Linked DNA regions of Elephas maximus indicus. The protein of the gene in region 1 interacts with the protein of each later gene in a pairwise test. Links are inferred from orthologs where the notes say so. Each region holds a gene or a part of one and is shown in the gene's direction. Other genes may lie near its edges. The genes, in order: RBPMS, nuclear envelope pore membrane protein POM 121C-like, keratin-associated protein 19-5-like and RBFOX1.

Region 1 (8,397 bases):
GCTTAAAACAACAGCATTCACTTTTTTGGTAACCATTTTGCAATTCGGGCAGGGCTCAGTGAAGACAGCTCATCTCCCTTCCACACGGCGTCGGCTGGGGTAGCTGAACTAAGGCTAAGAACATCCACTTCTGAGACAGCTCACTCACAAGGCCAGCAAATTGGTGCTGGCTGTCCACTGAGAGCTCAGCTGGGGCTGTAAGCCAGGGACCTTGATTCTCCTCCATGTGGGCGTCTCCATGTGGCTGCTAGAGTTTCCTCAAATGATTAGAGGGAAGTGATTGGATCTGAGAACTACTTGGGAGGTAAGATCAGGGGGAGACAGTGATGGCCTGGAGGTGAGTGGTGTGAGGGAGGGAGAGGTGTGAGGATGGCAAAAATCAGCAAAGCACATCCTCTGGCCTCAGGACCTTTTTGGTACAGCATAGGATACAGAAGTTAACAATCACAACACATGTGGTAGATACGCAGCCTTCTACCTCAGAGCTAACACAGGTACAAAAACCCATGCCGCACAAATAGCCTCGGAATAGACCTTTAATGTCTGCAATTCTCAGAGACAAACACGTAAGACATAATTACAGGTTTGCATTTCTTAAAGCAAGCCTCCAAATGAACACTGCCAGAGAAACAGAGATGAGTAATAAAAAATACAGGTGTGTACAGTATTTCCCTTTCAATCTAGCATGTCGCTTTGTAGGCCAGACAGCTGTGCGGTAGGGTGGTGGGCAGGGGAAGAAGCAGATGTTACTTGGTCATTAGCCCAATTTTTCCAGGATATAAAATCCCTTCGTTGTCTTATAATTATATTTATGTGTCTGGAAACTATTGCTACTGAGGCGATCTCATGTTTGAAACTTTTCTTCTTTGAAGTAGTGAACAGGTCATAAAGACCATTTATATCCTGACATTTTCCTCCACGCTGTCAAACTCTTTCCCCTCACTCCCAAAGTTTTATAAATAGCAAGAGTCTGTTTACAGATTCTCATTGGGTTTTGTTTGGTAATACGTTACTCTATCATTCTTCTAAATAAGTCTAAACCATGCTTTATGGAAAGGATAAAAAACCGGAATCCCTCTTTTCCTGGCATATAATTCCATCCGTACGTGCTCTTCCGAAAACATCTTCAATTTCACTCTCATCATTGACGGTAATATTCTAGGTCTCCCTGCTTGATTGCAAACTACCTGATGTATCAGAAGGAACCCCGGTGGGGCAATGGATTGCTCGGCTGCTAATAAAAATGACAGTGGTTTGAAACCACCAGCCACACCCCAGGAGAAAGATGTGGCAGTCTGCTTTCTTAAATATTTACACTCTTGGAAACTCTATGGGCAGTTCTACCCTGTCCTTTAGGGTCGCTATGAGTCAAGATCTAATCCATGGCAGTGGGTAACCTGGTGTATCAATTGTTGTTGTTGTTAGGTGCCATTGAGTTGGTTCCGACTCATGGCGACGCTACGTACAACAGAATGGAACACTGTCCGGTCCGGGGCCATTCTATTGTCCAGACTTTGCAAGCATATGAGATCGAAAATACTATGGCTTGGGTCAAGCACACCTTAGTGGCATCTCAAAGGGACATCTGTGCTTTTTAACACTTTAAAAGGTCTTTTACAACAGATTTGCCCAATGAAATACCTTGTTGATTTCTTGACTGCTGCTTCCATGGGCGTTGATGGTGAATCCAAGTAAAACAAAATCCTTGACAACTTCAATCTTTTCTCCGTTTATCATGATGTTGCTCATTGGGCCAGTTGTGAGGATTCTTGTTTTCTTTATGTTGAGGTGTAATCCATACTGAAGGCTGTGGGCTTTGATCTTCATCAGTAAGTGCTTCAAGTCCTCTTCACTTTAAGCAAGCAAGGTTGCATCATCTGTGTGTATTGCAGGTTGTTAATTAGTCTTCCTCCAATCCTGATGCCCCGTTCTTCTTCACACAATCCGGCTTCTTGAATTATCTGCTCAGCATACAGACTGAATAAATACGGTGAGAGGATACAACACTGAGGTGTGTGTCAGAATGTATCAATATAGTGCCGTGATTTTATTTTTTCTTTCTTGAAATCTCGTTAGGTGCCCCACTGTGTACAAGGTCTCTATCTAGAGTCTGCCCCTTGGAACAAAATAATGAGTAGAAATCACTGCCATGACGTTATGGGGGCTCTCCAATCTCAGATGTCCCCACTAATTTGGTCCTTCCTGCCGGATCTTGGAAGGATCTAATTCATTCAGACTAGAGAATCAATAACTGATGACTTAATGTGTTAATTCATTAAAAATTAACTATTGAGTGCTTACTATGTGTTCAGGAGTCCTGGTGTTGCTACGGTTAAGCTCTCAGCTGCTAAGCAAAAGGTTGGCAGTTCGAACCCACCAGAAGCCCTGCGAGAGAAAATGTGGAGATGTAGAGATTACAACCTTGTAAACCCTATGGAGCAGTTCTACTCCGTCCTATAGGATCTCTATGAGTTGGAATCGACTCTACGGCAACAGGCTTGGTTGTTTTTGGACAACGTGTTTGGCACTGTCTAGATATTGGGAATGCAACATTGAACAATCTAGACAAAGATCCTCTCATGAAACCTATTCTTGTTTTTTATCCCGGAGGTTTTTGACTTTTAACAGTAGACAAAGTCCTGGCTTGGCTGAAAGACAAAAGAATCAGGTTCTACTCTGAGAATGAAGCTACATTTCCCTGTGTAGGAGGACGTGAGGTTTTCCCAGCATCCTGAACTCACACAACGTATTCCACCTACTCATCAGTGGGGTCTGACTGGAACCATCAATGACTACATCAACTGTCACTTTTCTTGAGCGTTTGCCAGGCTCCAACAAGACAATCCCCTTCTGTGGAGTGTCCTCAGTAACAGGCAGGAATAGCCAAGGAGGACAAAGTTCTGCCATTATTGACCATCTCTGGGGCCCAAGACCACCACACAATCATTGCTCAGGAAGACATTGCCCCCTTGTGGTCACCTCTAACCTTTATAACTGAGGGAGAAGCTGGCAGTGGAAAGAGCTCCCAATTAAGACAAATGAATAATCAAAACAAGGACAAGTGAGTTACCAAGTTTTAGGAACAAAATAACCCTTGTCCTTCTCAGCTTCTTTAATTGTAGTTTCAATAAACTCTTGGTTTAGTTTCATCCAGGATTCACTTTTGTTACCATAGAGAAATGATATTACGACAGCAATTAAAGAAAAACATTTTTTTTCTTACAGAAGACCTTATCCTTATCAAAATCTTCAGATCACCAAGTAAAACCCAATATGTAAGTCCAAGTATCACTACTGCTTTTCTCTTCATGGTATGCTTGAAGCAAGTATTTTCTACATTTAGACAATTAAACTGCTTTTGACAATTTAAACCAGAATTCTGCAATTACGTTGCTGTGGCGTTGTTTTGGGTATCTTGTCTCCACAACACCACTTTAAACTTCCCAAAGGCAGAGGCCTCATCTGCAAGCCCTACCACACTTGCAACAGCACGTAAACCAGTATACTAGGGTCCAGAATGTCCAGTGGGGGAGAAAGAGATAACGTTACAAAAGCAAATAAACAAAAAATAAGTGATTAGAAATTGTGATTTCTGCTGTGAAAGAACAGCATCATGTGAAAGAGAATTCCTAGCAGTGGCAAGCGGGGGGAACGTACCGATGTGGAGTTTTAAACTTATGTTTGCAGCAGTCAAGTTGGAAAGCTTAAAGGAGCCAGTATTGGAGAATCCCTCCAAGGCCCAGCAGAAATGGAACTTTTCTTAATAATCATGTTGGCTTCCATATATTGTGAACTTCGGCTGAGCAAGAATGGCTGTTGGGTGCTACATTTTTATCAATCTATCTTGTTACTGTTGGTTCTGATTCATGGCGACTCCATGTGTGTCAGAGAACAACTGCTCTACAGGGTTTTCAAGGGTGTGACCTTTTGGAAGCAGATTGCCAGGCCAGTCTTCCTTGGAGCCTCTGGGTAGGTTCCAACCACAGATGGCTAGTAGCCCAGCGCTAACCTTTTGTGCCACCCACGGGCCTCTCTATCAATCTATAATCTTCTTCAATTCGCATGACCCTGGGAGATAAGCATAGCTATTTCTACTTTACGGAGACTGAAACAGAAGCCATGCAGTCCTTCCAAGGTTGGTGTACAGTGAAGGGTTTTTTTTTTTCTTCTGCATGCTTCGAGCCATCTGAAGATCAGCTCTACTGACCTCAAGTTCTGCTTAGACTGAGGAATGTTCACTTGGCCAACAAATATTTATTAAGTGCCTACTATATACCAGGTAGTGTATTTAAATAGCCGTGGGATTAAAAAGATAAACAGGGCACGGTCTTTGTCTTCTTGGAAGAAACTCCGGGAAGAGTGAGGAAAACAGCCAGGTAAACAAATAATTCCAAAGAGCCTGATAAGGGCTGTGGGAGGTCTGAACAAGAGCTATGAGGAGCCCAGAGAGCAGCAGCCCGTGCAAGGAGGCTGGAGAGGCTTCGGTGGACCGGACGTTCGTGGTGGGCTTGAAACTGCGCTTTAAAAAGCCGGTTGGGAGCAGGCTGCCCCAGGGTGTCTCTCCAGTTCCTTCAGGCCGTCATTTCAAACTGCTGGCTGAAGGGAAGAACTGTGCCTAAACGAGTAGTAAAAGAGGGTAGACTCAGGGACAGGGGTGCAAATCCCTCGCGGAAAGCCAGCAAGCTAAAGTAGCACACCCCAGTTCCCGCTCTCCGCACTGGCAGGGCCTGTTTCCCCGAAGCCCCTCTCCAAGCTCACGCGCACGGACACGCGAGTTCGCAACTCGGACCCCGCTCGGCCGTGGGGCGCAGCGGAGCCCGTGAGCCCGCGGCGCTGACCTTCCCCCCCTCCGGTGCCTTCGCCCTCGGACCTACCGCGAAGTCGCGGGCTGGGGTCGGCCGCTCCCGCCCGCCGCACGCCGCCCCTCCCCGGCGCGCGCCATCCGGCCGCCCGGCAGCCGCCCTCGGTGCAGCCCCTCCTCCCGCGGGGGGCTCCGTCGTCCCGGTCCCGTCCCTCAGGGCTGAAGCCCGCAGCCCACGTCCTGGGAGGGCGGAGGGAGGAGGAGGGGAGAGGAGGGCAGAGGGGAGGGAGGAAGGCGAGAGAAAGGAGGCTGCTCCGATCGCGTCCGCCCAGAGCCAGCCAGCAGCGCGCACTCGGCGGCTCTCCGGCCCCTGCGCCCCAGCCGCCCCGAGCCCGCGCCCGGCGCCCGCACCAGCTGCTCCTCTCGGGCGCCCCTCGCGCTCCCCGCTCCAGCGCCCGCAGGCTCGGCAGCGCGGCCCCGGCCCCAACTCCAGCCCCAGGCTTTCCTCCTTCCTTCCCTCGCGCCCGCCGGCCCGCCCTCCAGGTCTCACTCCCGGGTCCCGATTGTCTCCGTTCCCTTCTCAGTCCGCCCTTGCCCTCGCCCTGCCCGGTCTCTCCCTCGCACTTCCTGAGTCGCCGGCCGCCGCAGCCTCGCCGCGCCGCGGGAGCCCGCGCAGCCGCTGCCCCAGCTCCAGCCTCCGCAGCCGGCGGCGCCCCACCCGAGGGAGCCCCGGTGCCCCGGGAAGGGAAGAGTGGGCGAGCGCGCCCTCGCCCAGCCCCGCGCCCCAGCCCCGCCCGGGAAGAAAGGACCGGGAAGATGAACAACGGCAGCAAAGCCGAGAAGGAGAACACCCCGAGCGAGGCCAACCTTCAGGAGGAAGAGGTACCGAGTGGCCCGGAGCGGTGGTGGGTGCGACCGGGGGCGCGAGCCGCTGGCTTTCTCCAAAGTGCCGGGAGGGAGAAGCCGGCGGGGCGCGGGCGCTTGTCCCGGGGCGACGGGCTGGGTGCCCCTGGAGGTTTGAAATATTGTCCTTGCCCCAAGACACAACCCCACAATTTGGCCCCGGGAGGGTGTATCTTTGGAGTGTGTTTTTGTGTGTCCACGCGCGTCTGCGTGCCTAAAATTGCGTAACTTTGAGGACTTCTCGGAGACTTCTCTAAGTATAATGATCAGCTTTGTTTGCTTGGGATTTTAAAAGAGGAATTGAGAGGTGACTCCTGGGTGACCTCAGATTATTAGGACCCGCAGGGTCAGGGTTTAGTTCTGCGTTTGAGATTGGAAGTTATAGTGTGTGGGTGTTGTAAGAAAGGCGGGGACAAGTTCTCGTTAAAAGATACCTTCTGTCCCCCGCCCCCCTCCCTTTCGGTGTTAAAAGTTCTTGGTGAAAAATCTTTCAAGCGGAGGCATTTTGGTTGAATAGATAACTCATTAGCCTCATTCTTTGATGAGTCAAAGACCCCGAACCTGGGCAGTTAGCTTTTGCAAATTTAGGGACGATGGAGATGTGGGAAGACGAATAAAAGGGTTAAAAACCTAACAGTTCACCAAATGACCCTTGAGGCTATTTCTGAACATAAATTTTAAGTGATTTGTCGGTAGTAACGGTAGAACTTTGCGGCTGCGAAGCGTTCCTTTGGTGGAAACAACAAAGCTCAGTAAATGTAGGGAGGGACTCAAACTTTTCAGGATTTTGTATATAGGATATTTGTGGTACCCTATTAAATAGCTCCGTTCAGGCAGGTACAGAATCTAGGATGCAAAGAATAGTATTTTTCTCTTACTTTTTAAGATCTCAATCGCCTGAATTCTTAAACATTTTAAGAGTTTGTGCAAATGCTAGAAAGTATGTGTCTAGATCTGACCTAGATACCATTGTTAGGTCTTGCATCCTAATGTATAAGGTGAATACAGTGGTAAGCCAATTCAGAGTGATTCAGAAACTGAGATTATTATTGTAATACTGTGTGTGCAAACAAATTCAGATAGTGAAACCAAACGTGGGGGAATTCATTAATACACACAAGCCAGCTGGATATTGTCTGTCTGTTATATGGGAACCACTTCAACGTGGAAGATAGAGAACTAAGACAATGTAAAATGATGGAAAATAAATGTAGGATTCTCCTCTTTAACGTTTGTATGATAGTGCAACCTAGGTGAATTGTGGTGAGATGAAAATTGCCTTTTCACTTGAGGAAATTATCTATTTTATGATGAAGTATTATTTTGAAAAGTTTTCTTCGCATGTTTTATTACAAGCGAAGTAATACTACTGATATTTCTTTACTTTTTCAAAGAGCTGGAAATTTGAATCGCAAGTTCCACTTTTTTTTTTTTTTTTTTACTGGTTGCTTTGCTATTTATTTCCCTATCACTTAAGTAAAATTTAAAAAATGATGGCAAGTTTGTATTTTTAAGGAATGCAATGTGTTTAATCCGCTTAACACACCAAGACAATCATTGCTTTCGTTAGATATTTGTTTCACTTACATGGGCAATCTCTTTACTTCTAGGGGTAAAAACAGATACTACGAAACCATCTTTCTCTCATCATCCAGTTGTGAAAACTTGTAATTGGGAAAAAGTTGATCAGGCACACCAAAGATTATTTTTTGCTTTTGGTAGGCAGCAAAAGAAGTTTGAGTGTTCCAAAAACATGACCCACTTAATGAAATTAAGTAGAGAAAAGTCACATTTTTCTGCTGGACCTGTCTCAACTGCTGCCAGGACTGAGGTTAGGCTGCCTTGTTCCTGAGAGCCTTACCATTAATGTGTGTGAAATTGCACACCAATACAACCACAGGCAAGCTCGGGACAGTGACCGCCTCCTACCTGCCCAGTTGCCCTGTCTGTGTTCCTCTTCAGGTAGGAATGACATGTGGCTCTAAGAAAGTGTCACTATGTTTATCAAAACTTTTGTTATTTTAAAAATAGGTGGGGAGCCTCAGGAAGATTTCAGAACTCCGGTTGTACAAGAGATGGGGTGTATAAAACACACACCGTGAAGACCGGGTCTGTGTTAGGAATTCAGGAAAAGAAAATAGTGGCCCTGAATAATCCAGGAAATTTTGCTCCAGTTTCCAGTTTTGGGTTTTGTTTGTTTTTCGAAGACTCCTAACCCCCTTTTCTCCCCTAACCGTGAAAGCCACAAGTAAAATAAATGGTATTTGGTGAGTTCCATTAATGTCTTGACATGATACAAAACCACCACACACAGGACTCTCTCCCTGCCCACCCACTGGATCAGCAGTTCTTTCTCAAACACATTTAAAAGCCTTGGCAAAGGACTCTAGTAAACAGAACACACACATATAAAATGTATATATGACGCACAGCGACAAGAGAGGAAAAATGTGTTTTGTTGTAGTTTCTCATGGCTGTTGAACTGACATGGAAAAGTGAGTCCAATCCTAAAGAGCAAATAGTTTATTTCACAGATTCATCAGAGGTTTATTTATATATATATTTTCTATTTTTTTTTAAAGTGGGCTCCTTTTAACATTCAGTATATTTTATCCCTGTTTGAAAGTGTTGCATGCTTACCGTGAAGCCGCAACGATGCCGAAACACTGATTTAGGGCCAGTTGTATAGAATG
Region 2 (8,339 bases), on another chromosome or scaffold:
ACCTACATGCTCATCAACGGACGAATGGATAAACAAAATATGGTACATACATACAGTGGAATACTGTTCAGCACAGAGGAAAATGAAGTCTTGATACACACTACAGTATGGATGGAGCTTGAAGACATTATGCCAAGTAAAATAAGTCAATTACAAAAGGATAAATATTGTGTAATCTTATTTAAATAAACAGACAAGAAAAGGCAAATGTATAGAAACCAAAGTTTATTAGTGGTTACCTGGGGCGGGAGGGAGGTAGAAAGGGGGGTTAAGGGTGATAGAAATATCTCATTGATGAAGTGTAGGATTGCACAGCAGATTATTGTAATTGCTGTCAGTAAGTTGTACACCTGTAAAAAGTTGAACTGGCAGATGTTGTGTGATGATACATTTACAACAACAACAAAAAAGAGTAGCTGCTGAAGCTGATTATGTACAACCAAACACCTCATGGGATTTGGTTCCTTGATTTGGAGGTTTAGGGTCATGGTTTCATGGGACATCCCAGTTAAATTGGCCTAATATGTTTAGTGCTTCTGTTCTACCGCCCAGTTTGTTGTGTAGTGCCTGGGGTCTTAAAAGTTTGCAAGCAGCCACCCAAGGCACAACAGTTGGTCTCTATTTGCCTGGAGCAACAGAGGAAGAAGAGAGTCAGGAATAGAAGGAGAAATATGGAATGTGTGGCTAAATGACTCCATGAACAACCACCTTTTTTCCCATGAGACCAGAAAAACTGGATGGTGCCTGGCTACCGTTCCTGAACATTTGGGTCAAAGATCTATAGAAGAATCCTGATCAAAAGGGGGAAAATGTAGAACAGAACTTCAAATTCTCATGGACTCCAGACTTCCTGGAACCATGATGGTAGATGAACGCCTGAAATTATTGCCCTGAGATAATCTTTAAACCTTAAACCGAAACTATCCCCTGAAATCTTAAAACCAAACAATAATTTAGCTCTGCTAGTAAAAAAGGTCTGCCTTGAGCATTATGCTCTTTTAAGAACTATATGGGATCAAAGCAAGAACAGCAAATTGAAAGACAGAAACCTTAGGGGACAGTGAGTTTATGTTAATGGGAAGGAACAACTCAGAAAAGGAGAGTGAGAATGGTTGCAGAACTTGAAGAATGCAATCAGTGTCGCTAAATGGTACATGTAGAAACTGTTGAATTGGTGTATGTTTTGCTGTGTACGTTCTCAACAACAACAATAAAATAAAATTTTTAAATAACCAAAGAAAACCCTATGGGGGATAGTTCTACTCTGACACACATGGGGTCACCATGAGTCAAAATCGACAGCAACTGGTAATCCTTTTTTGGTTATGTGCATTAGAATTGTTTTTTTCCCAAATTTTAGCTTATCTTTTAGCTGCTTATATTGTCTTTTTGCATATAGAATATTCTAGAGACTGGAAAGAAATATACTTCAGTACAAATAAATTGGTTTCTGGTCTATACAGTTGTTTCTCGTGAGTTTGGTTATTGTGAGGCCGGCCTCTTTTATCCCTTCCAGCTCTCCCGGGTGGTGATGCTTTCACTGAGGAGGAGCCACAGAGTCTGTGTGGGCGGTCAAGACAAGACGCATGGTTAGTTTTGTCTTACTGCCTGCAATATATGCTAGGCAACTGAGGGAACCAAAGCACGGAGCATGAAGTTGCTTGGTCACCATGAAGTCAGAACAAACAATAATATTTGGGGAGAATGCTTCCAATAGGTAGCCCACTGGATTGTTTTTCTCTACTGAAGGGGCATTTCTATCTTGAGAATGAATCCAACACTGTAAAACCAGAACAGTTTCAGTCTCATCAGTTATATTCTAGCCGTAGCTTCCTGAGATTGCAGCCTGATCCGGGCTGTGGACTTGGAAAAGCCCTCAGGACACGTCCACAGATGGCTAATTTCATTTATTCTGTTTTAAAGTATGAGCTTTGGCTTCAGAAATTGTTCCTTTTCCTTATGTGGTTTCCAGGTTCTGTAGGTTTACCATTCAGACTTGGAGCTGACTACTTGCCAGTGAAAGGGTTCTGTGACCCCTGCAGTTTCCAGGCGTTCTCTGCCATGTCTCTGTTCCTTGTAATCCAGAATATGAAGCAGTTATTTACTGTGTCAAAAAGAGCAATGTCTGAGGAATTTGGAGTTCTTTTCTATGCTACTACTTTTCTAATTTACTGTGTAGAGGAGCCCTGGTGGTTAAAGAGCTAGGCTGCTAACTGAAAGGTTGGTGATTTGAACCCAGCAGCCGGGAGATGTGGCTGTCTGCTTCCATAAAGACTACAGCCTTGCAAACCCTGTGGAGCAGTTCTGCTCCGCCCTGCAAGGTCGCTGTCTTAGTCATCTAGTGCTGCTATAACAGAAATACTACAAGTGGATGGCTTTCACAAAGAGAAGTTTATTTTCTCACAGTAAAGTAGGCTAAAAGTCCAAATTCAGGGCATCAGCTCCAGGGGAAGGCTTTCTCTCTCTGTTGGCCTTCTCATCAATGTTCCCCTGGACTGGGAGCATCTTTGTTCAGGGACCCCGGGTCCAAAGGATGTGCTCTGCTCCCAGCATTGCTGTCTTAGTGGTATGAGGTCCCCATGTCTCTCTGCTTGCTTCTTTCTTTTATATCTCAAGACATCTCAAAACACAATCCAGTCTTGTAGATTGAGTCCTGTCTCACTCACGCAAGTGCCACCTATCCTCCCTCATTAACATCATAGAGGCAGGATTTACAACATACAGGAAAATCACACAATACCAGGAATCATGGCCCAGCCAAACTGATGCACACATTTTTGGGGGACATAATTCAATCCATGACAGTCGCTATAAGTCGGAATCTGCTCGATGGCAGCAGGTTACTGTGTAATGTTGGATAAGCCATGTTACTTTTCTGGATTGGGTCTTCTCATCTGTAATTGAATTAGATTTTTTTTTAAAGCAAGATAGCCTACCCACTTTTCCTTTCAAATGAAATTTTATGTAAAATCACAAAATATTAAACTGATAGAAGCCGAGCTGGCTTATCTCTCCAAGTTGCCTCAGAGGCACCTTTGCTAAGCCCTGCGTACATTTCCAACCTCCTTACCCCCCAAACACCTGCATCTCCGGCCATACTGAACTATTTGGAAACTCTTGCATCACACTCGTTTCCGTCTCTGTGTGCCTGCCTGGAGCCTGGTTTAGCCAGCTGTTTCAGCTCAAGTCGCACCTCCCTGGCCCTCCTGCCCATTTATCATGCCTTCTCTTTCTGTGCCTCTATGAACTGTAGTTTTCTATTTACACATATTTCTTCGCTACCAAACCGAGGGCTTCTAGACCTTACCCCCCTCCCCCCAAGTCATTTGAGTGTACATCAGTAATGGAATGAAGAAATCAATGAATGAGTTATGCTGAGAAAGCTGAGCTAGGTCAAAATCTGGATTGGCATACTACCAATTTTTTTTCAACAGCTTTGTTAAGATATGATTCACATCTCATACAATTCACCCATTTAAATTGAATTCAATTCAGTGTTTTTTAGTATATTCACAGGGTTGTGCAACCATCCCGAGAATCTAATTTTAAAACACTTTTTTCTTCCCTGAAAATGAAACCCTGTAACCCTTAGCAATCACTCCCATTCCCCACCACCCCCACCCTACTCTGCAGCCCTAGGCAACCGCTATTTTCTCTGACCACCAAATTTAACATAGGTGAACTGGTCATTAATCTTCAAAATTTGGTAGGGAATCGACTTGACAGCACTGGGTTTGTTTGTTTTCTAGCACTGCTTAACCAGCTTGTACTGTAGAAACTCAGATTCAGGACCTGAAGCAGCAGCCCTAGGGACTCTCTGATCCAAAATTTATTAGAACTAGTTCAGGAGCCCTGGTAGCACAGTAGTTAAAGCGGTCAGCTGCGATCTAAAAGGTCGGCGGTTCAAACCACCAGCAACTCCACGGAAGAAATATGTGGCAGTCGCTCCCCTAAAGATTTACAGCCTTGGAAACCCTAAGGGACAGTTCTACTCTGCCCTATAGGGTCGCTATGAGTCCGGAATCAGCCCAACGGCACTGGGTTTGGTTTGGTTTGTAGTTCTACGTTTAATAGGATGGTTGGTTTGGTCTTGCTTTTCCCTATTGCTGTTGAAGTTAGTCCCCTCTAGCTATTTATATTTTGGAGTAAACAAGGTAACTGAAAAACTCAGTCTCTGTTAGCAATTGTGGCAAGTGCTTGGTAACGATCTCTTCTGGGAGATTAAACCCATTGCTGTCCGGTGGATTCCTACTCATAGCGGCCCTGGAGGGGAGATTAACCTTAAAAACAACAACAAAAATATACTTTTTGCTGTGGATGCCGGTTCATAGAGATCCCATAGGACAGAGTAAGCTGCCCCATAGGGTTTCGAAGGCTGTAATCTTTACAGGGAAACCCTGGCGCCGTAGGGGTTAAGAGCTACCGCTGCCAACCGAAAGGTCCGCAGTTGTAATCCGCCAGGCGCTCCTTGGAAACCCTGTGGGGCAGTTCTACTCTGTCCCGTAGGGTCGCTCTGAGTCAGAATCGACTCGACAGCAGCGGGTTATCTTCACGGGAGGAAACTGCCAATCTTTCTCTTGGAAAGCGGCTGCTGGGTTCAAACCACCGCCATTTCGGTTGGCAGCGGAGCACTCTAATCGCTGCGCCACAAGGTTTCCGGAGGGGAGATTACCCTGTTGCTGTCGATTCCGACTCATAGCGACCCTATAGGGCAGAGAGCTGCCCCCTACGGTTTCCAGGGAGCGCCTGGTGGACTGACTGCCGACCTTCGGGTAACAGCCGTAGGTCTTAACCAGGCCACCGGGGTTTCCAGGAGGGGAGATGAGCCCCTGGAAAACATCTAGGGTTCGGAATTACGTGAGAATATCATGAAGTAAGGATTAGGTGAGTACTTTCCCTGCTTTTATTTTTAACAAGATTCTTCCACAGGATCATGTCTGGTTGGTGCACTGCGGGGAGACACGCGGGAAACCTCGAGACTCAGAGCTCGCTTCTGGAGCAAAGCCGCGTTTTTCAAATTCGGTCTCGGTCTACCGAGTTGCCAAGCAATGGCGTCGCTCCGCGCCGTCGCGTGCGCAGTGACGTCGCCGGCGCGGTGACGCGGCGCGCCGCGCGGTGCACGCTGGGATATTTAAGTCCTCCGCGGCGCGGAGCCGCGATGTCTCCGGCGGCTGCGGCGGCTGGAGGAGGCGAGCGGCGGCGGCCGGCAGCCGGCGTCAGGGACGGCCGGGGCGGGGGCTGCGGCGGCCCGGCCGGGGCGGCGCTCGTCGGCCTCTCGCTGCTCGGCCTCTCGCTGCTCGGCCTCGTGCTGCTCCTGGTGCCGGCGGCGGCCGCGCTGGCCTGGCTGGCCGTGGGGGCTACCGCGGCCTGGTGGGGACTGAGCCGCGAGCCCCGGGGTGCGCGCGCCTCGGCGCCGGGTCGGAACGCGCGGCGCCAGCGGACGCGGCCGCCCTCGCCGCCGGCCAAGCCGGCAGTGAACGGCAGCCTGCTGGAGCCGCGGGCGCTGCTCGAGGGGCCCGCCGCGGCTGAGCTGCTGCTCATGGGCAGCTACCTGGGCAAGCCCGGCCCTCCGCGGCCTCCGCCCGCTCGGGAGGCCCGGGACCCGCCGCAGGGGCCCGGCCGCCGGCCCGCCGCCCTCCGCCCGGCCGCCCGGCCCTCGCCGCCGGCGCCCTCGGCCGGCCTCGGCCACCGCGCGCAGCCCGGGCCCCCCACGCCTGTGCTCCGAGCCTCGAGGAGGCTGCCCCGGCGGTAGGGCTTCCGGGGCCCTTGTCGGTGTCTGTTGGGGGGCGTTAAGGCGAGGACTTAGGTGTTTGGTCGTTTCGTTGGTTTGCGTTCAGTCGGAAGCGGCTTCCCTGTGATTTTTGCCTTCTTTAAACGCTTGGCGTGTCCGTGGCCTCCTGCCCTCCTCTCCGCTGGTGGAAGGAGATGTGAGGCCAGCGCTATTCCCCGCCCTCCCAGTTCTTAAAACCGCCAGAATTTTCGTGTAGTATAGATTCAGCGGGGAGCCCTGGTGGCTCAGTGGTGAAAGCGCCCACTCTGACTCAAAGGTCCGCGGTGTGACCCACCAGCCGCTTTGCGGGAGGGAGATGTGGCGGTCTCTTTCCGTAAAGATTAAGCCTTGGAAACCCTGGGGGCGGTTCTCTTCTGCCCTGTAGGGTCGCTGTGAGTGGGAATCAACGGCAGCGGGTTTGGGTCGGTTTGGGGGATTACAGATTTAGCAGTATATTTGATAAAGCACTAATATTTCTATTTCGAGTGAAAATTACTTTTTCTTTCAAGCATAGTCTGTAGTGTATTTTGGTCTTTGGACCAGTGAGAAATTATATCAGTTAGCAGAACTCGAAGTGTTCCAGAGAATTCAAATTAAAGAGACATTTTTATTTAGTCCCAATAGCTGAGGTGATACAGGCGAATACAAAAATTTGGTGAAAATGTTAGATTCTTGATAAGTACATTTGTTTGAGAAGGTGAACATTTAGGTGTGGAAACTGGTTAAAAATGTTTGGCTTTGGGTGTATTCATTACTGGAGTTTTAGCGTAAAAGACTGAAAAGATTGAAGAATTCTTGAAGAATTCCTCCCTGTGCACCCTAACACACACTTGTATGCCATTGCATGGGCAGGGGTTCCAGCTTCCCTAGCAAATTGTTGAAGTCCCTTGTTGAGACAGTTGCTAAGCAGCTGCCAATTTCTACCCTTAAATAGAATGGGGGAAAGTTGCCATAGAAATATTGTGTTCTGTGTTAGAAAGAGATTTAAGCTCTCTGAAAGACGTCCAAACCCACATGGTTGTTTGGCCACTTTAACTTTCTGACATTCTTTTATACTTCTTTGCTTCCATGGCGTATCTCCCATTCTTTGCAGGAATTGTGGGACTTTGCCAAATCGGTTTGTAATAACACCTCGGAGAAGTTACCCAATCCAGCAGGCCCAATATTCCTTCCTGGGGGCACTTCCCACGGTGTGCTGGAACGGTTACCACAAGAAGACGGTGCTGTCTGCACGTAATTCCAAGATGGTGTGCAGCCCAGTGACAGTGAGGATTGCTCCTCCTGATAGCAAGTTGGTTCGTTCACCAGTGTGAGTATTGTGGAAAGAACAGATTCCCTTTTGTGTCCACTTTACTCTCTGTTACTCTTGTGTGGTTATTCCTTTGACAACTCTGAAGGAAAAAGAAGAAATAACTGTTTATTTGAATGAGAGAAACCCTAAATTGTAGCCATTGAACCTTTTTTAATTTTTTGACCTTAACGGTGGCTTAAATCACTAAGAGCAATTTCTGTGAATGTATAAATTACACTTTTGCTAGCTTGGGTTTTGATTTCCTATTATTAGCATCTATGCTAAATGTGTAGTAATTAAAATATTTTAATACTAGATTTTTGTTTTTCATTGCAGACCAGAGCAGATAATCAGCTCAACACTGTCCTCACCATCAGGTAATATTCCAGACCCATGTGCAAAGGAGACTGTACTGAGTGCCCTGAAGGAGAGGAAGAAAAGAACAGTGGAGGAGGAAGACCAAATATTCTCAGATGGCCAGGAAAATAAAAGAAGGTAATAGGCCCAGCAGACTACTAAACAGCCTCCCTGTGTACTCCTGGGAATTTGTTGAAATACAGATCATTCCCAAAAAATATACAGAAGCCAACTTTAGTTTATGAACCTTCATATTCCCTTCTCTGGCTTTCATGAAGGAGCCTGGTAACAAAGGCATTAATGCTGTTCATTTCCATGGGTAGATAAATTTTATAGTCTACCTTTTTTATAAGTATTAGAGATAAACCAACAAGTATTAGCCATATCAGCCTCACACTTTTGATACTAGCATGTTTAATTTTATATTTGAGAGAGAATGCTCAAAGTCTTCCACTTACAATCTTGTGTTGTTGATTTATTTGGCCAACTACCTGTTTAAAAGTCATAATTGTGCTAAAGGAAATGCTTGCCAAAGAAGAGTGAAGACTAGAGTGTGGTAGATTTACCAGTAATGAGAGTAGAACCAATTTCATTATTTGCCTTATGTGATACCTTAACGGAAGTACAGTAAACAGTCTGTTTCCCAAATTTAAGAGATGAAGTGGCTAGTCATGATATAGAACTACTTATGGCTTTCCAAGGAATCAGTAAGGACTCCGCACTTTTTTTAATTTAACAAATATTAATTGGGTACCCACTGTGTGCCAGGGCCTGTTCTAGGTACTGTGGATAGAGCAGTGAATAAAACAAAGTCCCTACCCTCAAGGGGCTTTCTTGAGGGAGATAGACAAATTAAAAAACAATGAAATAAACAAGGTGATTGAAGACTATAAGTGTACAGGGGAGGGGTACAAAACAAGG
Region 3 (6,024 bases), on another chromosome or scaffold:
ATTTTTTTGCCTTTGTAAGTTACTTGATCTTTCCTTGGGTGCTCTGAAGTTTTGTTTTGTTTTTTTTTTTTTAATCTTAAAGTCTAATATTTTTACCAATATATGTCTTCAAGTTGTTCATTGTGGGTCAGTTTTCCCAAGTAATGGATGGCTATCTCAATATGTACTTTGAGAATTTCTTTTAGTTTTGAAAACTTTTCTTAGATTCCAATTTATTAGTTCTGTTCTATTTTCTCTTCTTTTTTTTTTTACACCCACTCTAATTACATGTAACCTAGATCTTTTTGTGTATCTTCTATTTTGACCACTTTCTCTCCGACTCTATTTACCTCTTTCTTTACCTCATGTTCATTATTTTTTTATTGTTTTCTTGCCTTTCTTCAAAGTCAGTTATTAAGTTTTCATTTGAATTCATTTTTCTTTAGGCATCTTGGAAATTGGCGTTCATTTTGATATGATTTTTATAGTTTTAATTGCTAAGTTTTCAACTCCTATTTCATTTTTTCCTATCCTTTGTCCACTGCTGTTCATTCTTTTTGAATTTCTGATTCATTTTTTAATATTCTCAATCCCTGTTGAGAATATTTAATTCAATGTGAAGTGTTTTGTTACTGCTTACTTTGCTCCTTTTTTGGGGAAAGGGGAAGGTGATGGGGAGGATTTTTGTCAGCTCAAGTTTTTATATTAATTTCCTTTCTTTTTATTATAGTAGTTTGTCTAGATATAGACTGTTTAGAGCATTGCATTTTATGGAATGTGCTGGTGGTTTGGGGTTGGTTATGAGATTCTTAGTTTAAGTGTGTGGTTTTCTCGCAATGTACCACGTATTGTTTTCTTAACTGATTGGTTTTACTTGGAGGGGACTTAGGGTTTGTCCTCCACTTTTATCCTTGTGATTACTAGGGTCCTTCATTTTCACTTCACTTTTTTTTTTCATGTACAGTTCCAAAAGAACACCTTCATCCCTTCTTATCTTATTTCTTCTAGATTCCTTACCTTTCCAAAACAAAACTGACTGGCATTCTATTCCTGGGCTTTCTTTCTTTCTTTTTTTAATTATGTTCCCTTAGGTTGAGTTTTTGCTTTCTCAAGATGGCTTTCTGTCAGTCTTGTCTTCCAATTTATCTCTTCTGGCAAGTCCTCCACCCCCTGGACATTTCTTTGCTCTTCACAGATGGTTGGAGAAGAATTCAAGGAATCTCACTGGCAAAAATTGATGCATATATTTTCTATTTCTTTTTTCTTATTTGAGGTCTTATAATACTTTTCATCTTGTAATTAGTTTAGAGGCATGGAATTTGTATGGTTTTATAATTTTTTTGTTGGTGTGTATATTTGTTAGGGGCAATGTTGGGAGAATCAAATTTATGCAGTCATACTGTTTCACTTGCCAAGGAAGTCTAAGGTGCCAGTTATTAATAGAGAGAACATGGCAAAATGTCCATAATTTTTCCTTTTAATATCCATTTAGATAATCTAATAGGGCAGAAGGGTGTAAGTGCACTAAATATACTTTACTGGTGTTCAGCAGTGCTGGCAGCAGAGAATGGAAAACCCATGAGATAAAAAAAGGTGAGATTGCACAGAATCTGTTTTTATTTTGTTGTTTTTTTTTTATGGATGTGTTCATTCATTCATTTATTCAACCAACAATCTACTGTTTATTCTCTGCCAGCCACAAAAATTATAAAATATTAGCATAATTAACATTCTTGCCCTCAAGGAATAGGTAGTGTAATGGAGAAGATAGCTAAACAAACTAATCAGTATACTAGAATCTGAAGAAAGGTCCAGGTCATTTGGCAGCACTCTGAAAGGGCTGTCTAATTTAGGCAGAGGTAGAGTAGCTGGGCATGTACTAAAATGTTCTTGGAGAAGGTGATGCTTGACCTATGTTTTGAAGGGTAGGTTGGAATCAGATGGGTGAAGCAGTACAATAGAGGATCCCAGAATGAAGGAGCACACCTGAAATGCTCAGAAGAGTGAAATGCTTAGGAGGTTGATGTCTTTCTTGCTTCTTCATAAAAGGGAATATGTGGTACATTCTAAGTGACCAAGATAGATAAATAAAAGCTCTGTGATGAAAAGGCTTATTTGTGAAATTAAAGAGCTTAAGCTTTCCCCTGAAAACTAAGGAGCATAATGGTTGGAAAATGAAATGATCATATTTGTTTTTTTTAGTATCTTATTTTGGACTCAGTACCAACAACGAGTCAAATGAGAATTTTTCCTTGGGGCAGTATCACCAGTGGTGAGGTTCTTACTTTAATCTAGGATAAAGTGATAAAGGACTGAATCAAATGATAAAAATGAATAGCCTTATGAGTGATATTTACAAAATATCATTGATGTGGTTCAGTTGGTTATATAGTTAGTATACACTGGTAGTCAGAGTGGGGGAAATATTCATGAAAAGTCGAGATCACATACCCAGGATTATGGCTTGAGTGACTGATATACAGAAAAGAAGCAGTATTGTAGGAAAGGATAAGTTTACCGTTGGACATTGAGCATAGGTTAAATGAGAGCTATTCAATAAGTAGTTAAATTGGTGGTGGTGATATGCAGAGAAGTATTTTAAATAGAAGATAATAATTAAAAATAATCTACACAAAATATATTATTAAAAACAATGCTTTCATGAAGTTCCAAGGGGAAAGTATATATACATTTTTTGTGAATTGAAAGTGACACTTAGCATTAGTGGATAAATAAGGAATTGGAAAGACAAATAATTAGGAATTCACAGAGAAAGCTAACTGAATGTTTTGGCACACAAAATAAGGAAAGAGTGTTATACAAAAAGAACAAAGGAATGAAGAGGCAGCAATGTCAAATGCCAAGGAAAGTTCAAGTAAGTCAAAAACCAAGAAAGTTTCCTCTAAATCTGATTACATGGAAAGCACTAATAACTTTGTGACTACCCCTGATCTTGAGGGAGAAAAGACCTTGAGTTCCGAGGATGATCATTAGCCAAAATCATGGAAGTCAAACGAAAAAGAAAAACACAACATGACCAAGGCAAAGGAAGGCACTGAGAGGAATGCAAGAGAAAAAGGCAAAAACGGTAAATACTATTACATATACAATCCTGCGATAACAGTAATAACAAACTGTAAATTATGAGTGGATACATAAGTAGATATCTAAGCTGAACAGGTGTGGGATGGCGTATGGGGGTATACATATGAGAATATATAGGTTTGACAGAGGCTATTTCTATATACATATTTGTATGTGCTGCAAATATATCCATGTCTATGGTAGAACACACAGGGGCACAGTTATGAAAATTTCCTAACCATAACCAAATAACTCAAGGGACAGAGTCAATGGACTAGAGGACTTAGGACCGTAGTCTCAGGGGACATCTAGGTCAATTGGCATAACATAACCATAAAGACAATGTTCCACATCCTACTTTGGTGAGTAGTGTCTTAAAAATTTGTAAGCTGCCATCTAAGATATAACTATTAGTCTCTTCCCACCTGGAGCAAAGAAAATCAAAGACTCAAGGAAACAATTAGTTCAAAGGATTCATGGACCACACAATCCACAACCTCCACTACCCTGAGACCGGAAAAGCTAGATGGTGCCCAGCTACCAATACTGACAGCTCCGATCGGGACAATAGTAGAAGATCCTGGACAGAGTGGGAGTAAAACATAGAACAAAATTCAAATTCATAAAAAAGACCAGACTTACTGGTCTAATACAGACTGGTGGAAACCCCAGAGCTATGGCCCTTAGACACCCTTTGAGCCTTCAATTGAACATACTGTTGGCAATCACCTTTCAGCCAAAAGATAGACAGACCAATAAAGTGAACAACAACAACTGTGAGGAGGGTGCCCCACAGGACAATCAACCATACCAGACTAAAAGGTAAGCATTTGCTCAAAAACAAAGTTCAAGAGGGCAGGAAGGAACAGGAAAGATGGGTGAATGGAGATGGGAAACTCAAAAAGGAAGTGGGTAGTGTGTGATCACATTAAGGGGTTGCAACTAATGTCACGAGACAAAATGTGTATAAATTGTTGAATAGGAAAAGAATTTGCTCTGCAAACTTTCACCCGAACCAAAAAAAAAAAAGAAGAAGAAAAGAAAAGTAATGTGAAGTTATGTAATTACAGGACTATTGGAACCCATCAACTAGAGGAGATCATTTTAATTAGGACACCAGCAAAGCCTTAACAAAACCAAACCCACTGCCATCGTGTTGATTCCAACTCATAGTAGAACTGCCCATAGGGTTTCCCAGGCTGTAAAATCTTTACAGAAGAAGACTGACACATCTTTCTCCCAGAAGAGTGCTGGTGGGTTCAAACCATGGACCTTTCAGTTAGCAGCTGTGTACTTTATACCTCTGCGTCACCAGGACTCCATGGCTTTGAATAGGCTATAATCATTTCTCATCTTGGAAACATTTTGTTGTAAGGAATGCAAACTCATTAAAAAATAATATTTATTATTAAAACTGCTTTAATAAGAGCCTGGGCTCTTTGGTGTGTAAGAAAAGAAAAATTATAAGGAATTTTTAAACTTTACATTATTCTGTTACATGGAAATGAAATCACCTTGCCATGGTTGTTTACCACAGTTACTATGGAAAATATCGGAATGTTCTGGGAAGCAAGAGAGACTCAGGAAACTCATCTTCAGCATCAAACCAATCTCTAACCCTTGACACCTTGAGCTACTGTGGCTGCTACTATGGAGGCCTGGGCTATGGCTATGGAGGCTTTGGTGGCCTGGGGTACGGCTGTGGTATTGGCTGTGGCAGCTTCCGCAGATGGAGTTATGGCTGTGGCTACAGAGGTTACGGATCTGGCTCTGGGTATGGAATCTATGGAGGCTATGGATATGACTCTTGTCACCCATCTTGCTATGGAGGATATGACTTCTCTTGCTTCTACTAAAAAGCCTGCAGATCCTCAGACTCTTTTATCACTATGCTCTTACCCACATTGTTCTATGATGTGAGCTCTTGTCTTGATGTAGGGAAAATATCTATCGTTTATTGGCATCAAGCTCCATATGGAATATCCTCTACCAGTTTTCATTTCCTCTAAAATGATCTGGAATCTCTTCATTGCTTCAGGGTTTCACTTGTTATTATTCTGTCATTAGCATCTGTTGTAAACATGTGTGAATTCTATTTTAAAATAATTTTTAATAAACATACTTAACTAGCAAAGCAAACATGGCTTCATCTTTATCAATTTGTTTCAAGGAAATTCAACTGGCTATGTGGGTTTTCAATCAGGATGTTAGTTTTCTTTCTTCCGATTTGTTAGCCACTCTTTAAGATAGAGTAGAACTGTTCCATAGAGTTTCCAAGGATGTAATATTTACGAAAGCAGACTGCCACATCTTTCTCCTGCAGAGCAGCTGGTGGATTTGAACTGCTGATGTTTAGGTTAGCAGCTGGGGCCTTAACCACCCCACCACCAGGCATCCTTTTTCTGTTTGTTTATGTCAAGGAATTTCAAATGGCTATGTAGGATTTCAATTAGGGTGTTAGTCTTCTTTCTTCTGATTTGGGAGTCTACAGGTGGTGTAAATGGTTAAGCACTCAATTACTAACCAAAAGGTTGGCAGTTCAAACCTACCCAGAGGTGCCTTGGAAGAAAAGCTTGAAAATATTCTTCCAAAATGTCACAGCCTTGAAAACCCTATGGAGCACAGTTCTGCTCTGAAACACATGGAGTTGTCATGAGTCAGAGCTGACTCGACGATAACAGGTTTGTTTTTGTTTTCTTTGTTTTTTGGTTAGTCTCCTTTTCTGAATTGGCGTTTTGATCAACAAAATGCATTTGATTTAACAAATGTTCATTAAATGTTTCCATGTGCTGGAGATTGTTCTAAGTGCTGAGGACATGGAGAACAAAGGGATAAAACCCCTGCATACTTTCATAGGTGTTATATTTTGTTTGCTTCCAGTGGTCTTTGTGTGTGATTTTGTTTTTATAAAATCATTCTAGGCACTATTTTGTAATGATTTCTTTTTTGAAAAAATTTTTT
Region 4 (8,917 bases), on another chromosome or scaffold:
CCCATGGAAGGCCCATGCTTTGCCTGGAGAGCTGTGTCTAGAAATGGAGCTTCCGCAGCATAGCTCAAATGGACCATCAGGGGCAGAGACCTCGTTCAAGAGGCCCAGGGGGCTTTCCTGGGTGCTGGGCTCAAATTGCCACACAGAGAGCTGAAAACAAACTCAGAATCTTTGTATTCCTTGAATTGGAAGAGAGAGCAAGAAGTCATCTGGTCCAAATGCCTGTTGTATTCATTCATTCACCCATTCTGTATTTTCTAAGCACTTACTATATGTCAGGGTCTGGATACTGCAAATGGTTAATACACTTGGCTGCTAATCGAAGGATGGAGGTGTCTCAGAAGAAAGGCCTGGCTGTCTACTTCTGGAAAAATTTGCCCTTGAAAACCCTACGACACACAGTTCTACGCTTATACACATGGAGTCCCCATGAGTCAGAGTTGACTCGACAGCTACTAATTGGGTGCTGTATGTCAGGCACTGTATTAAACCCTGTACCTCCAGTGGCCAGAGCTACAGCTGAGAGCCTTTCCAGTTTTTAATCAGTAGAGGCGTGAAAGGTCCAACACCTCTCTCAGTAGATGGACTCGTGAGAGCTTTAGGATTAATTAAACCTGGGATGTGGCACTCAGCAAAACTCAGGTGGGAAGGGGCCAGGGTGCGAGGTGACTTTTCTAGAAACTGGAGCTGCTTTTTCAGAGCAAGCACACATTTTATGAAGCGTTTGCTGCAGCCTGCCCTGCCCTTCCTCTACCTTATGTCCCCAGTCCTCAAATGCTGCTGCGTATTTTTTTTTTCCTACAGCACTTATCACCTCCTATTATGCTGAATACCAAACCAACCAACCAACCAACCAACCAACCAACCAACCAACCAACCAACCAACCAACCAACCAACCAACCAACCAACCAACCAACTAACCAAACTCATTGTCATCCAGTCAATTTCAACTCATAGGGACCCTACGGGACAGAGTATAGGAGAGGCTGGTAAATTCCAACTGCCAACCTTTTAGTTAGCAGTCAAGCTCTTAACCACTGCACCACCGGGGCTGCATATTTTATTTATTTCTTACTTTATTGCTTATTTTCTCCCTCCCCTCTAGAACGTAAGCTCTATGGTGTCCATGAACTTGGCTTGCAGTCTCCTCTCCAGATAAACCCCAAGGGACTAGAACGGTGCCTGGAATGCAGTCAACACCAAACAACTATCACTGAAGTGTTCGAACAAATAACTATATCGAAGTGCATGTTACAGAGATTAAAAAAATAAAAATAAAAAATTGTCTAAAAATACTTGCATTCTCACTTTACTGAAGATTGAGCACATGTTGTTCCCAGTTTCAAAATTTGGAAGTGAGAGTAAAATATTGCTAAGTCACCCCTTGACACTTCCACTGAGCCAATCCTAGTATGGATAATTAATTACGCTTACAATAGAAAGTCTCTCATTTTGTCCAACTGGAGTCTCTTGCTTTGAGGTATGACAACTATAGTAGAAAGTATCCTTAGTGAAATGTCTGCTATTTTGACACACTTAAGAAGTTACAATACAGGGTTAGGAAAAAGAAAAAAGAAGGAAAAAAAAAAGAAATCAAGAGTAGTTTCTTTATTGTTTCAAATAGCTGGCAAGTTTAGGGAAAGAAAAAAGTTACAAATACTATTGTGGAAGTCAAATTAAAACTTGAGCGGTAGCCTTCTGCATAAGGAAGTTCCATTTGAAGGTGATCTTGTTTCTTGCTGGTTTTCACATTTTCTTTCAGCTTCCTACAGGGTGTGAGTACCTATTCAATTAAGGGCCCCTGTACCTGAAAGGCAGGCAGGGTGGCCCTCAAACGTGTACGAGGTGTATACATACATACATACGTCCAAGCGCCCGGGGGTTCTTCGCAGAAGAGACAAGATTATGTCTTTCCCCGCTTCTCCCATTTATTGACGTAGAAGCATCATTCAGGAGCCAGTGGCATTGATGTGGCTCTCTCCCAGTCTCTGTTGAGATCAAATTCAAATCCAGCATCCCCAGATGCTGGTCAAAAGGCGAGCGAAGTTTCATCATCCAGGGAGCAGAGGTTGCAGGTATGGTGCAGTTTGACATGGCGTCGCTCGATGCTGTGTTACTGATCCGTGGGCAGTGATATTAGCGAGTGTAAAAACCTTGCCTGCCTGCTTCTTTAAGTGGCTGGCGTGTGTCTAGGGTTTGTACTTGCCTCTGTGCATGAGCGCGTTTGCATGCGCTTGTGTCAGAATGTGTGAGTTGGTCGTCCAGAGAATGGAGCCTGGCTGAGAATCCTTTTGAGATGGAGGTAGAGGGTCTGCATCCCATTGTTTCATTTTGCAGACTTCCAATATGCCTGGGCTGTGAAGAGATAAGTTTAAAGGGAAGCCTGGGCCGTTATTGCAGAATGGGGCTGCAAAAATCCAATCACCATGAAAAGGTTTTAAACTTTGGGGAGAAAACGGGCCGGCAGACCACTATTGGCTCAGTGCAGCTGAGAGCCGTTATTGGTTCCTTACATAATGTATTTGTTTTTTCATTAAACCATTCAGATAAGGTCTTATTAAAGTGCCATGTATTATTTATCATGTTTCTTATGAAAATGAGCTAAAGGGAAAATTCTATCCTCTTCTTGGGGCATTTGCAGGCTTTCCCTGTGCTGGCAAGAAAAGAAGCAAGGGAAGAAACAGAACGGAGGAAAGCATGGCAAACCCTGTCATAGAGCAGATTGCTTGAGGCAAAAGGAAAGGACCGGAAAAGGAGAGGAAGGGGAGGAAAGACCCTTGTATTCTGTATATGCTTTGTTCAGTGGCTTTCTTTTTGATTTTGTGAATTGCAAAAAAAAAAAAAAGCAGGTAGAGACTAAGGAAAGAAAGATGAAAGCAAGAAAGAGAATCATTTTATTTGTAAATCAGAGCTTGTCTGTTAAACAGGATTTCAGAGTCAACGTAGAGCAAGGATTTTTTTACAAACTAACCACTGTCTGCTCCCACAAAAAAAAAAAAAAAAAAAAAAGTAGCAGAGAACAATGCCCAAGGCACTCCTAATCCCCCATGCCAACTTCTACCTGGGGCTAAATGGGCTGTCGTTGTTGTGTGACTTCAAGTCCATTCCGACTCATAGTGACCCCATGTGACAGAGTAGAACTGCCCTGTAGGGTTTCCTAGACTGTCATCTTTACAGGATCCGATTGCCAGGTCTTTTCACCTGCAGAGCTGCTGGGTAAGTTGGAAGTACCAACTCTTTGGTTAGCTACTGTGTCTCTATTCAGTTGACGGGATTCGTGAGCCCCAGTATGGTTGAACAGACTGGTTTGGCAAATGAAAAAGTAAAAAGAAGCAATCTGGTTTAGGCCTAGTATTTGGCATAACGAGGACCTTGTAGTTACTGATAGCTTTTCAAAACAAACAGCAAAAACAACAACCAAAAAATGGAGCTGTGCAATAGTTAATTTCCTTTCCTTCAGAAAGGATTTTGATTAGCCTCAAAGTGAGTTGTCACTTCTGAGCTGATGGTTCAGTTCAGAAGAGGTCTTGTGGCTGAGAGCATCTATGTGAGCCTCACAGAGAATCTGGGGGCGAGCCCCTGGTGGCCAGTCCCCTGGGTCACGTCCTAAATGCTCCTTTGTGAGAATCCCCATCCCCTCTCAAAGTGTGACCATGTCCTGCAGACATTGGCAAGCCTTCAACAAGCATCTTTGCAGGGAAACCCGCAACCCGAAAAGATTCTGTTCAGAGAACTGACCTCTTGCTCGGGAAATAAAAAGAAAATCCAATCACTGAGTCAAAAATCTATATAATAAAAAAAAATATGGCTACTATACAGTGATCATAATCTCACTAGTGCCCAGAATGTGCACTAGTGGGGACCAAGGACAAGTTAGAGTCTTAATATTTTCTTTTGATTTGCAGATCACATCCTATTTGATCGCATAAAGACTAACACAAGCTACTAATGAATAATTATTCCTTCATAAAATACAGGAGAGGGGGAGACCCATCTGCAAGAGCAGAATGCTAATTTGGCCAAAGAGGGCTGGCCAGACAAGAATAAAATAAACCATTTTAATTTGCCCACTGCAGCCCACAGAGTAATCTCTTATCAGACACAAGCCTCCCCCAGCCTGTGCATTCATAATCTGAGAAGAGCTGGGATTAGAAGCCCCCTTGCCTTCCCCAGGAGCTGGCATGTTAGTCCAACAGGCTTGATTTCAACGCCTGCCCAGGCAGTTTGCCCCAGCGGTTAGGATAGGGGTTGGTTTGCTGAGCGCACTGCTGCCTGCCCAGCAGAGGCAGAGAGCCAGCGAAAGCTGCGCCCCAAAAAGCCTCGGGGCTTGTAGCTGCCTTTGCTGCTGGGGCACAGACACCGCCCTCCCTCCAGCGCCCCCAGCCCCAGCTTCCCCCTAATCGGGGCTCCCCAGATCTCAACACCTCCAGCTTCTTAAGAGAGGAAATCCTATTTCTGTGTTTATTCGAGGAGTCAGGCAAACCAACCGCCAGGAAAAGCAAGGAGTCTGGGTCCCAGCTGGGCGAGCACAGGAATTGTCCAGCTCAAGGCTGGATGCTGGCGATGTGGGGCGCTCGCTTGCTTCCTCGCCCGCCCCGCAGAGATTTTTAGCAGACACAATTTGAATTTTGGTGAGTCGTTAAGGAAAAAAAAAGGCAAAGGAGAGGAGGGGGAAAAAAAAAAACACAACCCTGCCCCTGGACCCATTTGACAAATGAGAAGGCAGGCAGCATCAGCACCAAAGGAGTGAGCCTCCTCTGTGAGTCAAAATCTCTCTCCCTCTTTCTCTCTCCTCCCCTTTTCATCTCTCTCTCCCTCTTTCTCTCTCCTCCCCTTTCATCTCTCCCTCTTTCTCTCTCTCCTTTCTCCCTCCTCCTTCTCTCTACCCGCCTCCTACTCAGCATTACAGGAGAGTATCCATCCAAACCTCTCTACCTTCCATCCAAGTTGCCTGTGCTTGGTCCTGTCATCTTCACCGGGTGTGGGGTGGGGGGCACCTTCCACTTTGGGGGCGGTTAAAAAAAAAAAAAAAAGCAGGCCCAACAAACCAGAAAACGATCCAGCAGGGAGGAAAACAAAATAGTTTCCTGGTCCTCTCAAGTGTCTTAGTTTCAGGCAGAACAAGGCTGGGATCTAGCAAACCCAAAGAGAAAGAACGCCAGGGAGGAGGGACACGAGGGGTGCGGGGGGAGGGAGAGAGAGAGAGAAAGAGAGAAGAGACAGAGACAGCCACCCGCGTTTGACTTAGATAATCAGCAAAATTAAAAAGAGGAAAAAAAAAAATTGTAGCGGCCAGGCAGGGAGCAACGTGATTGCATGCGAGCGTCCCCACTTGTGCTCGGCGGGTACCACAGAGACACGATGCAGCACCCTCTGACGGGGGCCACCTGCGTGGCGCTCCCCAACGTGGGCATGTGTCCCCAGCTCTCGTGTGCCTTGACTTTTATGTACTTACAGCAGGTAAGGCGCGCCTCTGCCTCCGTGGCCGCTTCCCGGGGGCTGCACCGACTCGGTACCCTCATCCGTGGGCTGCGCTTTCCTGCCTTGGAGGGGGCTTGGGGAGGGGGGCTATGCGCTGGCACTGGAGGGGTGGATCTGAGCCCTTCGTTCTCTGCGGAGCCCAGAAACCCCCTGCCGAGCTGGTTTTGCATCTCACTGAATACTTTGCATGCCTGCCTCCCAGCCTGGGTACCGGAGTTTGAAATTGAAAACTGTATTTTTTTTTTCTTATTCGCATCCTTCTTCTGTCTGTGCGTCTAGTGGCGATTTGAAAATCAGAACCCTTTGATGCTAAGAGTTTGGAGTCTTTGTGGAGGCATTCGGGTGCCTGTAGTTTTCATTAAGGTGATTTAATGGGGAAGAAAAATCATCTACGTAAGCATGTGTGTGTATGTTAAGTTTTTTTTTTTTTTCGCCTTAAGTTTGCCTGTGTCGTGTTTTGTGCTGTGCTGATTCTTTATGGGATCAGGCTGTTTAGATTTCTGGATGCTGATAGCCCCAAAATCTGCCTCCAAACTCACAGGCAATGCTATGTACGGTGAAGGCAAGAGGTTTAGGATGCTGTCTTTGTTGGCACTGTAGAGGCATTTGTGTCTTCTCTTCACTCCCCGCTTAATTAAGGTCTTACTGAGGGATGTTGTGTTTGTCTGTTTGGCTTTGCACTATCCCTACATTTCAGTCTTCCGCTGTGTCTATTTTTCTCTGGGTGTTTCCCTCAGACCCCCTCTTTCTCTGTCTTCCTCACTTTACTAGAAGGGCTGGCACTGGTACCTGTGCCTGGGCTTGGGAATCCGCGGAGCATTGCCTTTGGGGGGCGGGGGGGGGGGGACAGCTTTCTGCTCTCTGTCAAGGGGTCAGTGGCTGTGCCTGTGAACTGGCAGGGCCAGAGGGTTTGTCATTCCAATGGGAAACCCTCTCCCTTCCCCATCCTGCTCTGCGAAGAGTTTATTGGGATTGTAGGCATTTTATCTGCTTTCCACAGACTCACTTCCAGAGTGCCATTTGTTAACATGTGTGTTTGTATGTTGACACAACTTCCTTCACAAGAGTTGAGAGGTGCCTCCTTCCCTAAAGGCCCTCCATTTCCATCTGGATTATAGGCATAGATGCATTTATAAAATGTCAAGATTGTTTTGAACATTTGGGTAATTTGTTATCAAGTTGGTTGCCTCCAGAAAATATATCTTAGGATTATTTGGTTGCAAGTCTGAGAACAGCCTGTTATTATTATTTTTGGTAATATCTTGAGAACAAATTGGTTTATCCTTTTAAATATCTTTTTTATTCCATTTCTCATTAAGTAAATTGTGCCAGGAAACATTTCCCAAGAGCATACTGGTAACGTATTATATGACTCATCTGCTGCTAGCATTTCTTTGCTGTGTGCGTGTGTGCATGCGTGTGTGTGTATGCGTGCGTGTTTTACACCAGTTACCCACCAGAAGAACATTCTAATGAGTGTTTCTACAGATGCTAAGCCTCGGTCGGATTTAATCAAATTATTAATACGAGTTGATCTTGTGCCTCCTACATCCACTCCTTTTACGTTATTTATTAATCAATTTGAACAGCATTACCTAACAAGCAGAATGCTATAGGTATTCAGTGTTCTGACCAGTTCTTTGTGCGTTGTTCTTTTTTTTAAAAATAAATCAATGCTTCTTCCTCCTAAATTGTTAAATCGGTTTGCTCATTTAGACACAACTTGGGAAAGCAGGCGGTGTCTTTGAGGGAGAGGTTGTTATTTTTGCCATGTGAAGGACAAGTATATAGGATAGGCTCAGGGGCTTTCATCATCCGCCCTGCTGGCTCTTCCAGGAGTGAAAACTCCCCTGCTCTGTGGTGGGAAGGCTCAAAGGAACCATTGGCAGCCATAACAAATATTTAGAAGTGACTAGATCAGCATTGTGGTTCCATATGAAGATGGGTAAAGGGTGGGTTTTGCATTTTGCTTGGGAATGCCTCCTCTTGAAAGGATTTGTAATGCTGTCCGTGAAAGTGCTGATAACATGATGCTATGACAAGATGTCAGAATGGGGTATGTGTGTGTGTGTGTGCACGTGTGTGCATTTTCTCTGAGTTTTGCTAAGTGTCTGAAGTATAGTAGAGGCAGTCTTTATTTGTGTCTGCTTGACTCAGAATGTAGTTTTCCAGCCATACCTCCTACCCTCCCTAAAGGATCACCATCAGGGCGGGAGAGACGTACCTTTGGGTCACCTCTCATGGTCCTCACTGCCATGATAGGTTGTGTGACAATTCCATGGCATTGTTTTAATTTACCAATCCAGACAATTGAATGATTAAGAGTGTGAAGTAGTTCATTTTAATCTTTACAGACTACGCACAGATGCAATCCGTGTGACTTCGGCCTATACGACACAGCTTTTGTTGTTGTTTTTTGCTCCTTATCTGTAACTATTCTTGTGTCTTTAACCGAAAGATCAGTGGTTCAAACCCACCAGTAGCTCTGTGGGATAAAGATGTGGCAGTCTGTTTCCGTAAAGATTTACAGCCTTGGAAACCCTATGGGGCAGTTCTACTCTGTCCTACAGCGTTGCTATGAGTCCAAATCGACTCGACAGCAACGAGTTTGGGTTTGCTTGTTTGTTTGTTTTGATTTATTTAATTTTGAAGATCAGAGGACAGATCAATACTCACAAAGTAAGTTGAGGAACCAGTGAATCGGGCCACGTCACAGTAAATGATGCCTTGGCTGGAAACATTTCGGAAGACACCTATTTCAGGAGTATGTGTTATCTTGATATTGTAAGAAAACAATTAAAACACAAGCATCTTATTCAAAGGCTTTATTGTTCCTGTCTTATACACGCACAGACTCTGATCAGGTGGTACCCAGAGTCTTCACTGAAATACAGCATCGTCTCCAGGAATGAAGTCTGATATGGCTCCTGTTTTTTTTCGAGTATCCAAGGGGAATTACTTCAGAATCTGTTTTCTTTGCATCAGCTCTGCCGTACAGCCTTTCTCCCTAAATTCTCCCAAATTTGTTCCTAAGAAAACTCATGAAAACAGAAATCATGCAAGTCTACTCTGACTGTCCAAGAGAAAGCAACACACCTCTTTTGCCACAAATAACTTATTTATTCAGGCCAAAGCCGAGGTGACTTTGGTGCTTAAATTATCTGGCTGATTCAGTTTCATATATTTACATTTCCCAGGAACTTCACTTTAGATGGATGTTTTCCTACAGCTACAATCGCTCTTTCTCTCTGTATGCTCACTCTTTCTTAATATCTGAGGAGTTACTACAGTTCGGAAATGCCAAATGGGACAAGACTGAATGGTCCTTTTGCTTCCAGATATTGGAACCAATGATGTCATCACAGGCATACAACATGTGCATGTACACACCTATATACACGTCTAGTATAGAGTATATACTCTGTGGTTGTAGAC

The links.
Region 2: the proteins of RBPMS (region 1) and nuclear envelope pore membrane protein POM 121C-like interact in binary tests that used the Homo sapiens proteins (3 or more experiments, as listed by UniProt). The two-hybrid records come from large-scale screens. The link is inferred for Elephas maximus indicus from reciprocal best matches to the Homo sapiens genes RBPMS and POM121.
Region 3: the proteins of RBPMS (region 1) and keratin-associated protein 19-5-like interact in binary tests that used the Homo sapiens proteins (3 or more experiments, as listed by UniProt). The two-hybrid records come from large-scale screens. The link is inferred for Elephas maximus indicus from reciprocal best matches to the Homo sapiens genes RBPMS and KRTAP19-5.
Region 4: the proteins of RBPMS (region 1) and RBFOX1 interact in binary tests that used the Homo sapiens proteins (3 or more experiments, as listed by UniProt). The link is inferred for Elephas maximus indicus from reciprocal best matches to the Homo sapiens genes RBPMS and RBFOX1.

What each region holds. Positions count from the first base shown.
Region 1 is NC_064840.1:69,843,142-69,851,538, reverse strand, and holds the start of RBPMS (RNA-binding protein with multiple splicing), read left to right. Parts: upstream 1-5,078; 5' UTR 5,079-5,617; coding exon 5,618-5,683; exon of another isoform or gene 5,684-6,009; intron 6,010-8,397.
Region 2 is NC_064830.1:110,393,045-110,401,383, reverse strand, and holds the start of nuclear envelope pore membrane protein POM 121C-like, read left to right. Parts: upstream 1-5,110; 5' UTR 5,111-5,158; coding exon 5,159-5,748; intron 5,749-6,863; coding exon 6,864-7,079; intron 7,080-7,397; coding exon 7,398-7,556; intron 7,557-8,339. UniProt on the Homo sapiens protein: Essential component of the nuclear pore complex (NPC). The repeat-containing domain may be involved in anchoring components of the pore complex to the pore membrane. When overexpressed in cells induces the formation of cytoplasmic annulate lamellae (AL).
Region 3 is NC_064836.1:31,077,321-31,083,344, forward strand, and holds keratin-associated protein 19-5-like, read left to right. Parts: upstream 1-4,583; coding exon 4,584-4,919; downstream 4,920-6,024. UniProt on the Homo sapiens protein: In the hair cortex, hair keratin intermediate filaments are embedded in an interfilamentous matrix, consisting of hair keratin-associated proteins (KRTAP), which are essential for the formation of a rigid and resistant hair shaft through their extensive disulfide bond cross-linking with abundant cysteine residues of hair keratins.
Region 4 is NC_064830.1:65,286,306-65,295,222, forward strand, and holds the start of RBFOX1 (RNA binding protein fox-1 homolog 1), read left to right. Parts: upstream 1-5,407; 5' UTR 5,408-5,413; coding exon 5,414-5,461; intron 5,462-8,917. UniProt on the Homo sapiens protein: RNA-binding protein that regulates alternative splicing events by binding to 5'-UGCAUGU-3' elements. Regulates alternative splicing of tissue-specific exons and of differentially spliced exons during erythropoiesis.